Caenorhabditis elegans: one gene and its partner. The protein of the gene in region 1 interacts with the protein of each later gene in a pairwise test. Each region holds a gene or a part of one and is shown in the gene's direction. Other genes may lie near its edges. The genes, in order: klp-3 and sorb-1.

Region 1 (5,815 bases):
TACTAATCAAAAATGAGGTATGTGTCTAGATTTCAAGAGCACGAAAGATATTGGTGAAGCAATTTTTAAAAATTATTCTAGTTCAATACCAACATTTTTCTTGATGTTCCACATTTCGAACTCTTTCCCTATCTCTCTCTCTCTCCTTCTGCGCTTAAATTCTCCAAATTCTCATGTTCTGTAATTAGCGGTCTTGTCGTGGTCATCACAATTACACGGAAAACTATTTGTTTGTGTTATGTAATGTGTATGTTCTCGCCATAAAACAAGAAATGAAACCTGAAAAACGAGCAGAAACAATTGGCTTACTGCCTATTACGTGTGTGTGTGCCCGTTCCGCGTCCCTCTCATTTCCGCCCAACTCCGCCTACTTTCGTCTCTTTTCGATCACTTTTCCGCATCATTTTGATCACTTTTACAAACACATTCATGCCCGTAGTCCACCACCATCATCGCTTAACTCTTGAAATTTCTGATTGGTCATTGAATTTTGTCTTGGAACTTCCATCATTGAACACCAATCCAATTTAGACTTTTCCTTGTATTTATATGCCTATCGCCTGAATTTCTCTGATCTAGATGCTACCCAAAACAGACTTTTTCCCATTTCGTGTCACTCCTTTTTTGTGGGTCACAACTAATAAATCATGTTGCTCGTCGGTTTCTCGGAGCACACTCCATCCTTTTCCTTCTCATCAATTCAATGTGAATCGACATGCTTCTTCTTTTTTCTTCAGATTTCTTCACTACCGTCGTCACTTTTCGTTTTTTTTTCTTTTTCAACCACTTGAAAATGTGAAAATGTGCACTAGAAGTTTATGAGCTCTTGTAACCGAACACAGGCTCGTTTGTGAAAATGTGAAATGGAATGATGTTGGAAGAAAGAAAAGAACAAATCATGAGCTCCGGGTGATGGAATTCAAACATTTTTCCACAAATCTTATTGGCTTTAGTCAGAATTCTTCGTTCGTTATTCTGTAGAGTGACCCGAGTCAGACAAGCTTAATGAAATCATCAATATTCATTATAAACAAATTGTTTTAATTTATTTAAAGATCATTCTTTATATTATCAGAAAACAAGCTCTGAGTTTTTAATAACCATTTATTCAAACCTCCAAATATTCAATAAATTGGGCTTAATTTCTGTTTCAAAATGTTTTTTAATCAACCAATATATTCTCATCAGTTGTTCTATGAAAATTCTATACATTTACAAGAATTTTGGAGCGATGGAATAAACTAGGTTATAGCAAGTTGATGATACCTTTTCCACTATTTGAAACTCGACCGTTCTGTGAATTTTCTATAAATACAAAATTAACCTCATTCATGAAAGTGCTTGACGGCAAACAAAACAGTACCGAGATCAGATCACAAATAATTTTCTCTTCCTTTTTGTTCAATGTTCTGCCATCAGTCTACATTGTATTCAATTTCATGTTTGATTTGTGCGCCTGTTTCGCTACAAGCTCTTTCTCTGTGCCCTTTCAACTTTTCATCCTCCTCATTCCTTCTTCAATTTTTATTAGTTTACCTTCTCTCACTTTTTTATGACGTGGAATCACTGTATTTGCAGAGATACTTCTTCACCTTTTTCTCCATATTCGACCAGTTCTTTCACTTCTTCTCGGTTTTTTCTTTTCTTCCCTTTTTCCGCTAATAATACCTGACCAACAATTCATTTTCGGCTTGGTCTTGTATAGAAGACCACTTGAGATACTTTTGAATGCCATTCAGTTGCTATATTTTACTTTTTTTTGTTTTTTTCCTGTTGTTTTAGTTGCTAACTAAAAGATTATCCTTTTTGATCTGGCTACGATATAGTAGACAGAAAGAGAAAGTAAAAAATCGAACGTTGTTGACATTTTGTTCACTTTTTATTTCCTTTTTCAATTTTACATACTCTTAAATATGTTGACTATCCTCTATGTTTCTAAATGAACACAAAAATTTTTGTCTCCGTTTTTTGCGTTGTTTTCCTCAACCGCTGCACCCTAGAATTACTGTTTTCCAGAAAAAATAAACGATCGACACACATAAACACAGGAGTCTCTCACTCCATTTTTGACTTTAAAAATGGATTCGCATGTCGGCGAAGTCGATATTTTCCAACAATGCAAGTATATTCATGAGGTTTGTTCTAATTTCAGTTTGTTTTTGGTTTAACTAGTGTCACTAGTTGCACAAAGTTTGAGAGAATATTTTAAGATTTTTTTTTTCTGAAATTGATTGAACCATTTTTCACTGAGTTTATTAAAAAATTGTGTACCAGAATTCTAATTCACATTCCAATTATTGTTCAATTTCAGGTGGAACTCGTAAATATGAAGTTGCAAATGCGAATTCTGGAGACACACATTGAGACAAAAGACCGACTTCTGAGAAATTTAGAAGATATTATAGACGAACAAGAGTCACGAATTGCAAATATGGAAGATTTTATTCAAGGTACGCACTGTCGTGTGTAGTGAATTTTTGTGAAGTTTTGCATGATTAAAACCCCGTATTACTTATCCGTAATCTTAGACACTTACTTGATATATTGTCATGAGTACCGTGTTTTTTAATCCCAATTTTTTGATCGTCGTGTGATTTGGCTATCTTTAGCTCAAAAGTGTTATCTTTTAATACGCATTTTTGTTTTTTCTTAAAGTAATTGTGTTGTGGTGGTCGGATTGGCATGATTTTATAGTGTTTAATCTTTATTATTTTCTACTTGGTTTTTTGGTTGACAGTGCCTTTTTTCAATTTCACATATTCTACCAAAATCATTTCAATCCGGCCGATACTGATAATATTTTTCTAACATCATTACATGTTCACTTTAATTTCGCAAGTCCAAACAAAACTTACAACAGCTTATTTCTAAACAATAATCTAGCAAACGGCTAATTGGAATGATCAGGTTATTAAATGTTGAAATTGAATTGCAGGCCGTGCCACGTCATACACAAATCGGTCAAATATGCTGAAAGGAATTTCAGTTCTTTCACTGGATTTCGGAAATCTTTCGGAAGAAAATCTACGATTGAAAAATGCGCTGAGCCAAATGCAAAAAGTGGCAAGAGTGAATGAGTTATTGGAAACTGATGAAGATTATGAAAGTGATATGACAAGCAATGAGGATCGATTTGCTTTGAGGTAACCATTTTATTGTAATGTGATTGTCTTGTGAAAATAGTTTGAACACTTGAATTTTTTGAAAAGTAGGTCAAAAATGTAGTGTAATTTATTTTCCGTTTGCAAGCCTTTGCATGTTTTCCTGTGTATTCCAGCCGTGATTCTTCATGTTCGGTTCCCAGATCAGTGAGCCCCCAACCAACGGGTGACGTCATAAAGCCATATCCTCAAATGGTTCAATCAATGAGAGAAGAAGGGCATTGGAAGAAACTTCAGAGATGTGCAGAAGAGCTGAAAACTGAAAAAGATGAATTGAAGAGACTAGCATTGGATACAAAAGATGCATTCAATGTATGTATGGCTGAAATGAGAATGATGCTCACTTCAAAGACAACTGATTTCTTCCGAGTTCTCATTGAAAGATACAAAGCAGAAATGGAAAAACGAAAGCAATTACACAATCAATTGGTTGAGTTGAATGGTAAGTTCTAAATTGATTGAAATATTCCAAGAAATCGGAATGATTGATCTTTATAACTACTTTCCAAAAAACTAAAATTTTCAATTTTTAAGGTAACATTCGTGTATTCTACCGTATCCGTCCACAACTTGCATCAGAAACTGACAATCAAAAACCAGTTGTCGTGATAGATGAAATGGATAACGGAGTTGTCCACGTGTCAAACACAACGGGAACTCGGAAAACTAGTGCTGGAGCTGACAAGGTTATTCCAACTGATTTCTCGCAAGATCAGATATTTAATGAAGTTTCTCCGATTATTACATCTTGCATTGATGGTTATAATGTATGCATATTTGCGTATGGACACACCGGAAGTGGAAAAACATACACTATGGATGTAAGTTTAATTAAATTTTCAATAGAACTTTAAATTTCCAATTTTCAGGGTCCCGTCACAATGCCTGGAATCAATCAAAGAGCTATTATGCAATTGTTCGAAACTGCGAAGGAGAGAACGGGCGATATAAAATATGATATTAAAGTTGCCATGATGGAGATATACAATGAAAAAATACGGTAAATTGACTTTTTTTTTAACCTAAAATTGCAAATTCATTTTTCAGTGATCTCTTGAACACTTCCAACACAAATTTGGCAATTCGTCAAACTGAAGAAGGGAGAAGCTCAATTCCAGGACTTGAGGAAGTTTCAGTGAACTCTGCAGAAGAAGTCACGGAAACGCTTGCTAGAGGAAGAAAGAATAAGGTGAATTTGAAACAACTTCATATTCTAAATTTTCAATTTTCAGGCTGTAGCTGCTACTGAAGCCAATATTGAATCCAGTCGTTCTCATGTTATTGTTAGAGTTTTAGTATCGGCCACAAATCTTATAACAAAAGCAACTACAGTTGGTATGTCATTTTTCAAGTGAAAAAATATTTTGAATATATGATTTATTCAGGTCGTCTGAATTTGGTAGATCTTGCTGGATCAGAGAGAGTTTCTCAAACGAATGCAACCGGTCAACTGCTAAAAGAAGCTCAAGCTATCAATAAATCTCTATCTGAACTTGGAAATGTTGTACTTGCTCTTCGCCAGAATCAAAAACATATTCCATTCAGAAATTGTCAATTGACAAGAATTCTTGAAGATAGCTTGAGTGAGTTTCATAATATATTGGGATTTCCCTTTTAAATATTATTTTCAGATGGAGACAGTAAAACTCTGGTCATTGTGCATTTATCACCAGATGCAAAGAGTTTGAATGAATCTATTAGCAGTGTTAATTTTGCTGAAAAAATCGGACAGGTATGCATTTATGCCTTATCACATTTTACAAAAATTAAATGTTTCAGGTATTCACAAAAAGTGGAACGATGAAAAGAGAACCAACACGTAGAAGTATGACTGGAATAAGCAGTGGTCAACGAAGAGAAATCCCAGCATCTCCAAGAAAATGAACCTCATAAAATATCAAATATTTCATCTCTACTTCTCCAATAATCATCTTGTCAAATCCCTGAAATACCCGCTTACTCTTTCCATTCTAGTCCATGAAAAATTTCAAAAATTCAAAATGGGTTCCAACAATTTTTTTTTTCTAAAACTGCTGACTGACCAAAAAACTTGAAATACGGTTTACTTTTTCAAATCTAAATATATCCCCCATTTTTATTATTTGCAAATTTGTTTATGTGTGAGCTTTGAAACAATAAAAATATTCATTTAATATTTTTTAGTTCAATCCAATATTTTGATAGGTGGAATTGCAACAAAAATGAAGCAACAAATTATAAAAACAATTGTGAAGATTATAAGGCAGAATCGGTCAACTGCTTGAGCTGCAAACTTCCATTCGTCCTAAAATTTGAAATAAACATTGTTTTTTTATTAGGCCTGCATGTAGGACTATTTTTTATTTGCTGGTAAGTGTGACTATAAGAGACTGGAATGGTAATAGAGGAAATAAAGTATTGAACTATAAGGTTGATCTAACTCTAAAAAGAAATGTTAATAATGTTGTCAATTGTATAAAATAACTTAAACCCTATTTTGGGGCATATATGACAATATAATACATGCATTACATTTGACCGAGTACGGTTGGCTCTCTCTATCTATCTCGTTGTCCAGACCAGACTCATTTTTTCCGCGAAGTACTCTATGCCTCTTCCCTCTCTAAAAGAGACTCAGACAGTCCAAACAGAAGGACATTCTCTTCCACGGCCAC
Region 2 (4,948 bases), on another chromosome or scaffold:
TGGCAGACTTTTTTGTATTTTTAAAAAATAGTTTGATGTTTTTCATATTCTGAAAATACTCATTTTTATAGATTTGGTAACTAATAAAAAAACTATTTTTAAGCACAATTAGTCTCCTAGGTTTATTCTTCGATGGCAAATTGTGATGCGAACGGCAAAAAACTATAATTTTTTTGAACAAATTTTTTGCAAATTTTAACTGTTTCTATGAAGTGTTAAAGTTTCTGTTCTTCCTTTGAAACTAATAAGCTTGCGCTCCACCTTTTTTTAAATACAACGGTTACTTCTGGCCAAAAGAGTACTAAATCAAAGGTGTGATGATCATGATCATAGTGATGAAAAAGTTTGTCTGGTCACTTGAGAGCAGTTCCATCTTCTCTCCTCTCATTCTCTTTCTCTTCAGCAGGTCCATCCGGCAATTGCTTAACAAAAATTGAAAGAAGAAAGACGAAAAGTGTGTAAAGTCATGTATATAGTGAGCAAAAAGATAGAGAGACGCAGACACTGAGAGAATGTGATTCTGTTTCGTGTCCCGGGGACAGAAGACGCAATGAGGGACATTCTTAGTTTCTCTAAGTGTGGCTCTCGCAACAATAATATCACTCGATTTACTGATAAAATTTTTCTTATTTTGGTTTTTTTGTCGTATTTCAAAATAACAACTTTTCGTAAAACCTAGTACTGTTTCGGGCTTGTTAACTATTACAACTGTGAAACGGTAATTTTTATTATTTTAATTTTCAATAATTTTAGTTTTCAGTGAAATACATAACTGATTTTGCAACTCCTACAATCATTGAGTTCTAATTATTTAAACTTAATGAAAGTGTAAAAAATCGTAGAAATAATTTTTTGGGTCGAACCCCAAATTCTGATAGATGAAATGTGGCCTTTTCCCTGTTATAAAAAATTTTTAACCTAAAAGTTTTACTATTCTTGAAAAAACTGCTCAAGTGACCAGACAACATTTTTCAAAAGTTGTACGTCTTACATACTCATGGACAAAGGTGGAATAGATTTGAAAATGTTGTAAAAGCTTTACCATTTCAAAGAAACAGTATAAAATTTAAACACTTGTTCCAGAATGTTATTTTCATTTTTAAAATTAAAAAATTACAAGTGTCTTTTCTATTTTAAGAAAACAAAAATTAGCATTTTTCAATTCCAGCAATGGCAAAATTGTGATTGCCGTGCACATTTTACCCGGTCTTGGAAGCTATTTTTAAAAACTAGATACATTCTCATTCAAGTCTCAAAAGGTGTTCAAAACTTTAAAAACAATAACTTTAACACAAGCATTAACATTTCAACAAAAATTATGATTTTAAGGATTGCGTCAATTGAACGTGAATCCATTGTGGGAGCTTTAACACTTAAATGAAACAGTCAAAACAAAAATTGACAATATGGTCATTTAAGTACCATCCTTATAATTCCAAAAATGCATTCTACTGGCGCTCCTAAATGTCAAATTTAGTTGGAAATTGGGTTCAAAATCTTTATAGAATTTAAAAATCTAGTGAGAAAATATTTTGAAAATTAAAACAAATTTTCAAGATGTCTGAAGTTTTCTGGAAAATGGAAAATATTCTTGAATAGTGTACATCCCATGAATCTGCAATTATTGTCAGATTGGGTAAAGTTCGAGAACTATAAAAACTGTTACAGTACAAATTTCAAAAAAAAATCCCATTTCTGACAGAACATATTAGTCTTCCGTATTTCACATTTTTCATTTATTCTTTCCTTTATTTTGTTATACAATTCTTCAAACTCCCATATTCCAGGAATGATGCATCATCCTCATCCATTCGGGTCAAACCTGGCGGTAAGAGCTTTCAATTAATCTACTCCACAATCCCTAATTAATTTCCAGAACTCATCAGAACCACAACAGCCATCTGGTCAATATCTAAATCCTGCAGCAGATGCCTACAACTTTGACACCTTTGAAGATTCTGATAAATTCTCACCGAAGGGAAATGTGGCGGCGTTGAGAAATGTGATACATGGGCAGTTGGATATGAAGACACCAACTGGAAATAGTTCCAGATATCAGAAACCAGCGCCTCCGCCTGTTGGTGAGTTTTGTTTTTCTAGGCGTTCTATGTATTAAGCTACGAAATAATAGTTTTCGGAAAGTAACACATAGCTCATATGAATTCCTTGAAACTGTAAAAAATGTTAGTCAACAAGATAGTCAACAAATACACGATTGGCTGAGACCTGGTACCTCGACGGACCTGGAAGATGAAGCAGCAATTTTGCAATTAGATTTTTGTCATTTTTTCTATTAATAGTAAGATATTTTGGTTTCTGTCCGAATGCTGCAAACAGTAACAATAAAGTTTTGAAGTAGTCTTATAAACTATCTAAAACTGTTTTTTTTGTATAATTTTTTCTGATTTTGCGGAAAACAACTCCTGATGTCTCTCCTAACCAGCAATATTCAAAAAATCCAAATGTTTTGATGTTCAATAAAATAATAAATTCCAGACTCAACTCCTTCCTGGGCCAAAAATGTAAAAGTATACGAACCAAATGGATATGTGGATCCACATCTTAACAAGCATAATATGGGAAGAGTACTTGATGGTCCTGTCAATCCAAATAAATATTTTCAAGGAGTGAGTTTTATTTTGAAAAAAACAGCGATACAATAAAGCAACGAACTTTTCAAACTGAAAACAATGTGCTGAAATAGTTAAATTTAGTTATTACTGACCATTTTTTACTGATATTATTTTCTTTTTGGCTTTTTTTACAAGCTATGAGTGAAACACGTGAGTTTTTTTCTAGAAATTATTATCGACTAAAGCTTCACTAAAAATTGTAAAATATGAGCAAAATTATTTTGAGTTTTGAAGTTTTCTACTTTTCAGAAATACAATTCACAAGTAATAATAGCTTCTATATACGAAATTTCAAAAATTTAACAGTTTTTAAGTTAAAAAAGAACAAACCGATCAGATCAAACCGGAAAATTGTAAATGTCCTAAATGGCTTTCACGAAACAGTAGAACTTTCTTTTTAATTTTCCGAAAACACAACTTTTCAGTTCTATTTTGAAAATTGTACATTCCGGGAAGTTTATGAAAAATCCTTATGTAGATAAAAATTTACGCAAAATTGTTTTAAAAAACGTTAAAATTTTGTGTACAGTTTGAAGATTTGCAAAAATTTAAAACAATGAAAATACTTTTTCGTGTTGTCTATGAAAACTACATTACTATTTTTTTGTGATAGGAAAACTTATAGGAAAAATGTTTTGAGTACTTTTTAAAACTTGCAAATGCAAATGACCTGAAAAATCGCCAAGACATTTCATGTTGTTCTAAAAAATTTAGTGCTTATTCTCTTACTTAGACTTGTTGCGACACACTGAAGATTGAAACCAATAAACATTTTTCGCTTGTTCTATTGTCATGACATAAAATTCCTGAAACAGAAAAAATTGTGGTTTCTATTTTTTTTTTTTCAATTTTCTATGAAAATTGGGTCAAATAGTGTCTGAAAGTTGTCATTTGCTGAAAAAGTTTCACGGCAAACCCTAACTCAGGCACTATTTGAGATAATTTTCGAACTTTGCAGAAAAAATAAATATCATTATCAGATAGAACTCATAGAACAAACCTTGTCCTACATTTCTGTAATGATTTTTGATACAAAAAAAATATAATCACCAAACTAAAATACGTAGGTTTGTACATTTGCTGAAAAGATTTTCCGCGCAGAACTGATTCTAACCAGGAAAATCAATAAAATTATAAAGTTTTATTCAATTCGGTGTTGATACCTCCAATTTCTTGCAAACGGAATGCCAAAATCAGTTACTTGAAATTCGAAGCGGGGAAATTTGAAAGACCGACTCTATTAACATCTTCGCATTATGTTATGAAGTTGAAACAGCAGAATTATTTTTTGCAACTTCCAGGTTCCACCGGCCAGTTACAGTCAAGTAAAGCACAATGAGTCGAAACCACCAGTGCCTCCTTCCACAAAGCCTCCACACTCTGCTGCTCAAGCCCTTCAGGCTCAGGTCCTACAGAGCTCCAAAGCCCCCTCTCAACCCCAGCAATCTCAAAAAACGTCCTACCGAATCCCGTATGACGTGGCGCTCGATCCACGTCATCACCTCGGAGAATTCGACATTGATGACAGTGCATCAATTATTTCCTCGTGTATCTCGACATTTGGAGAATCTTCAGAAATTGCTGGATTTTCTGCGGCAGCCGAGCAACGGCATCTCTATGAGCAATATAGGAAAAAGTTAATGGAAGAGAAAAATGAATTGAAAGAGGGAAGTGAGACACCGTGTGTATCTTTGTCTGAAAAAGTGATGACGTCATCGACTGAAAATTTGAAAAATGGAAATAATCAGCAGAATCAACAACCTGAGCCTCAGCCTCCATCAAGCTCAATATTCAATTCAGAACTCACACCGTTTGGCCACGTGGCTCCTGTTGCTAAACAATTTGAACCAACAAATTTTCCACCATTTTCTCCAGAAAAAGAGAGTGAAATCAAGAGATCTATCGATTTGGAAAGTTCCCAACTTCTCGTAAAATCAAAATCCCCGGCTCCCTACTCTACAAGCTCGACGGATCATTATGGAACTATTCGAAGGAAGCATAAACCAGTGGCAATTGACCTTTCCAAGTCATCACCCAACTTGGCGAGTCAATCGCCGAGCAATTTATTTTTTGGAGCCAGCTTTGAGGAGAAGCAAAATCGATCGCCGATGACATCAACTCCGTCTTATAAAGAACAAGGATTCAAAAATGATAGGTGAGTTGATGTTTTCGTGGAACATATGTAATGAAAATTGCACAATCTATTTGATCGATTAATATGTAGAATACTTGAAACAGGAGAAATTTTTCGAAATTTTCAAACTCAAAATTTTTTATTCAACAAAACCCCAACTGTTCTAAGTTGAAGTGTATCA

What was found.
Region 2: the proteins of klp-3 (region 1) and sorb-1 interact in binary tests that used the Caenorhabditis elegans proteins (3 or more experiments, as listed by UniProt).

Annotation. Positions count from the first base shown.
Region 1 is NC_003280.10:7,840,339-7,846,153, forward strand, and holds klp-3 (Kinesin-like protein klp-3), read left to right. Parts: upstream 1-2,014; 5' UTR 2,015-2,078; coding exon 2,079-2,135; intron 2,136-2,311; coding exon 2,312-2,450; intron 2,451-2,935; coding exon 2,936-3,143; intron 3,144-3,277; coding exon 3,278-3,603; intron 3,604-3,695; coding exon 3,696-3,982; intron 3,983-4,030; coding exon 4,031-4,161; intron 4,162-4,208; coding exon 4,209-4,350; intron 4,351-4,393; coding exon 4,394-4,496; intron 4,497-4,546; coding exon 4,547-4,744; intron 4,745-4,792; coding exon 4,793-4,893; intron 4,894-4,940; coding exon 4,941-5,045; 3' UTR 5,046-5,315; downstream 5,316-5,815. Other genes in the region: Acetylcholine receptor subunit alpha-type acr-7, read right to left, coding at 5,326-5,445.
Region 2 is NC_003282.8:13,748,547-13,753,494, forward strand, and holds the start of sorb-1 (SH3 domain-containing protein), read left to right. Parts: upstream 1-1,786; 5' UTR 1,787-1,789; coding exon 1,790-1,828; intron 1,829-1,876; coding exon 1,877-2,081; intron 2,082-2,106; exon of another isoform or gene 2,107-2,127; intron 2,128-2,312; exon of another isoform or gene 2,313-2,336; intron 2,337-2,496; coding exon 2,497-2,627; intron 2,628-2,638; exon of another isoform or gene 2,639-2,659; intron 2,660-2,713; exon of another isoform or gene 2,714-2,737; intron 2,738-2,950; exon of another isoform or gene 2,951-2,971; intron 2,972-3,209; exon of another isoform or gene 3,210-3,230; intron 3,231-3,243; exon of another isoform or gene 3,244-3,264; intron 3,265-3,380; exon of another isoform or gene 3,381-3,401; intron 3,402-3,843; exon of another isoform or gene 3,844-3,864; intron 3,865-3,934; coding exon 3,935-4,788; intron 4,789-4,804; exon of another isoform or gene 4,805-4,825; intron 4,826-4,948. UniProt on the Caenorhabditis elegans protein: Required for organization of sarcomeres in body wall muscles and for maintaining normal mitochondrial position in myocytes.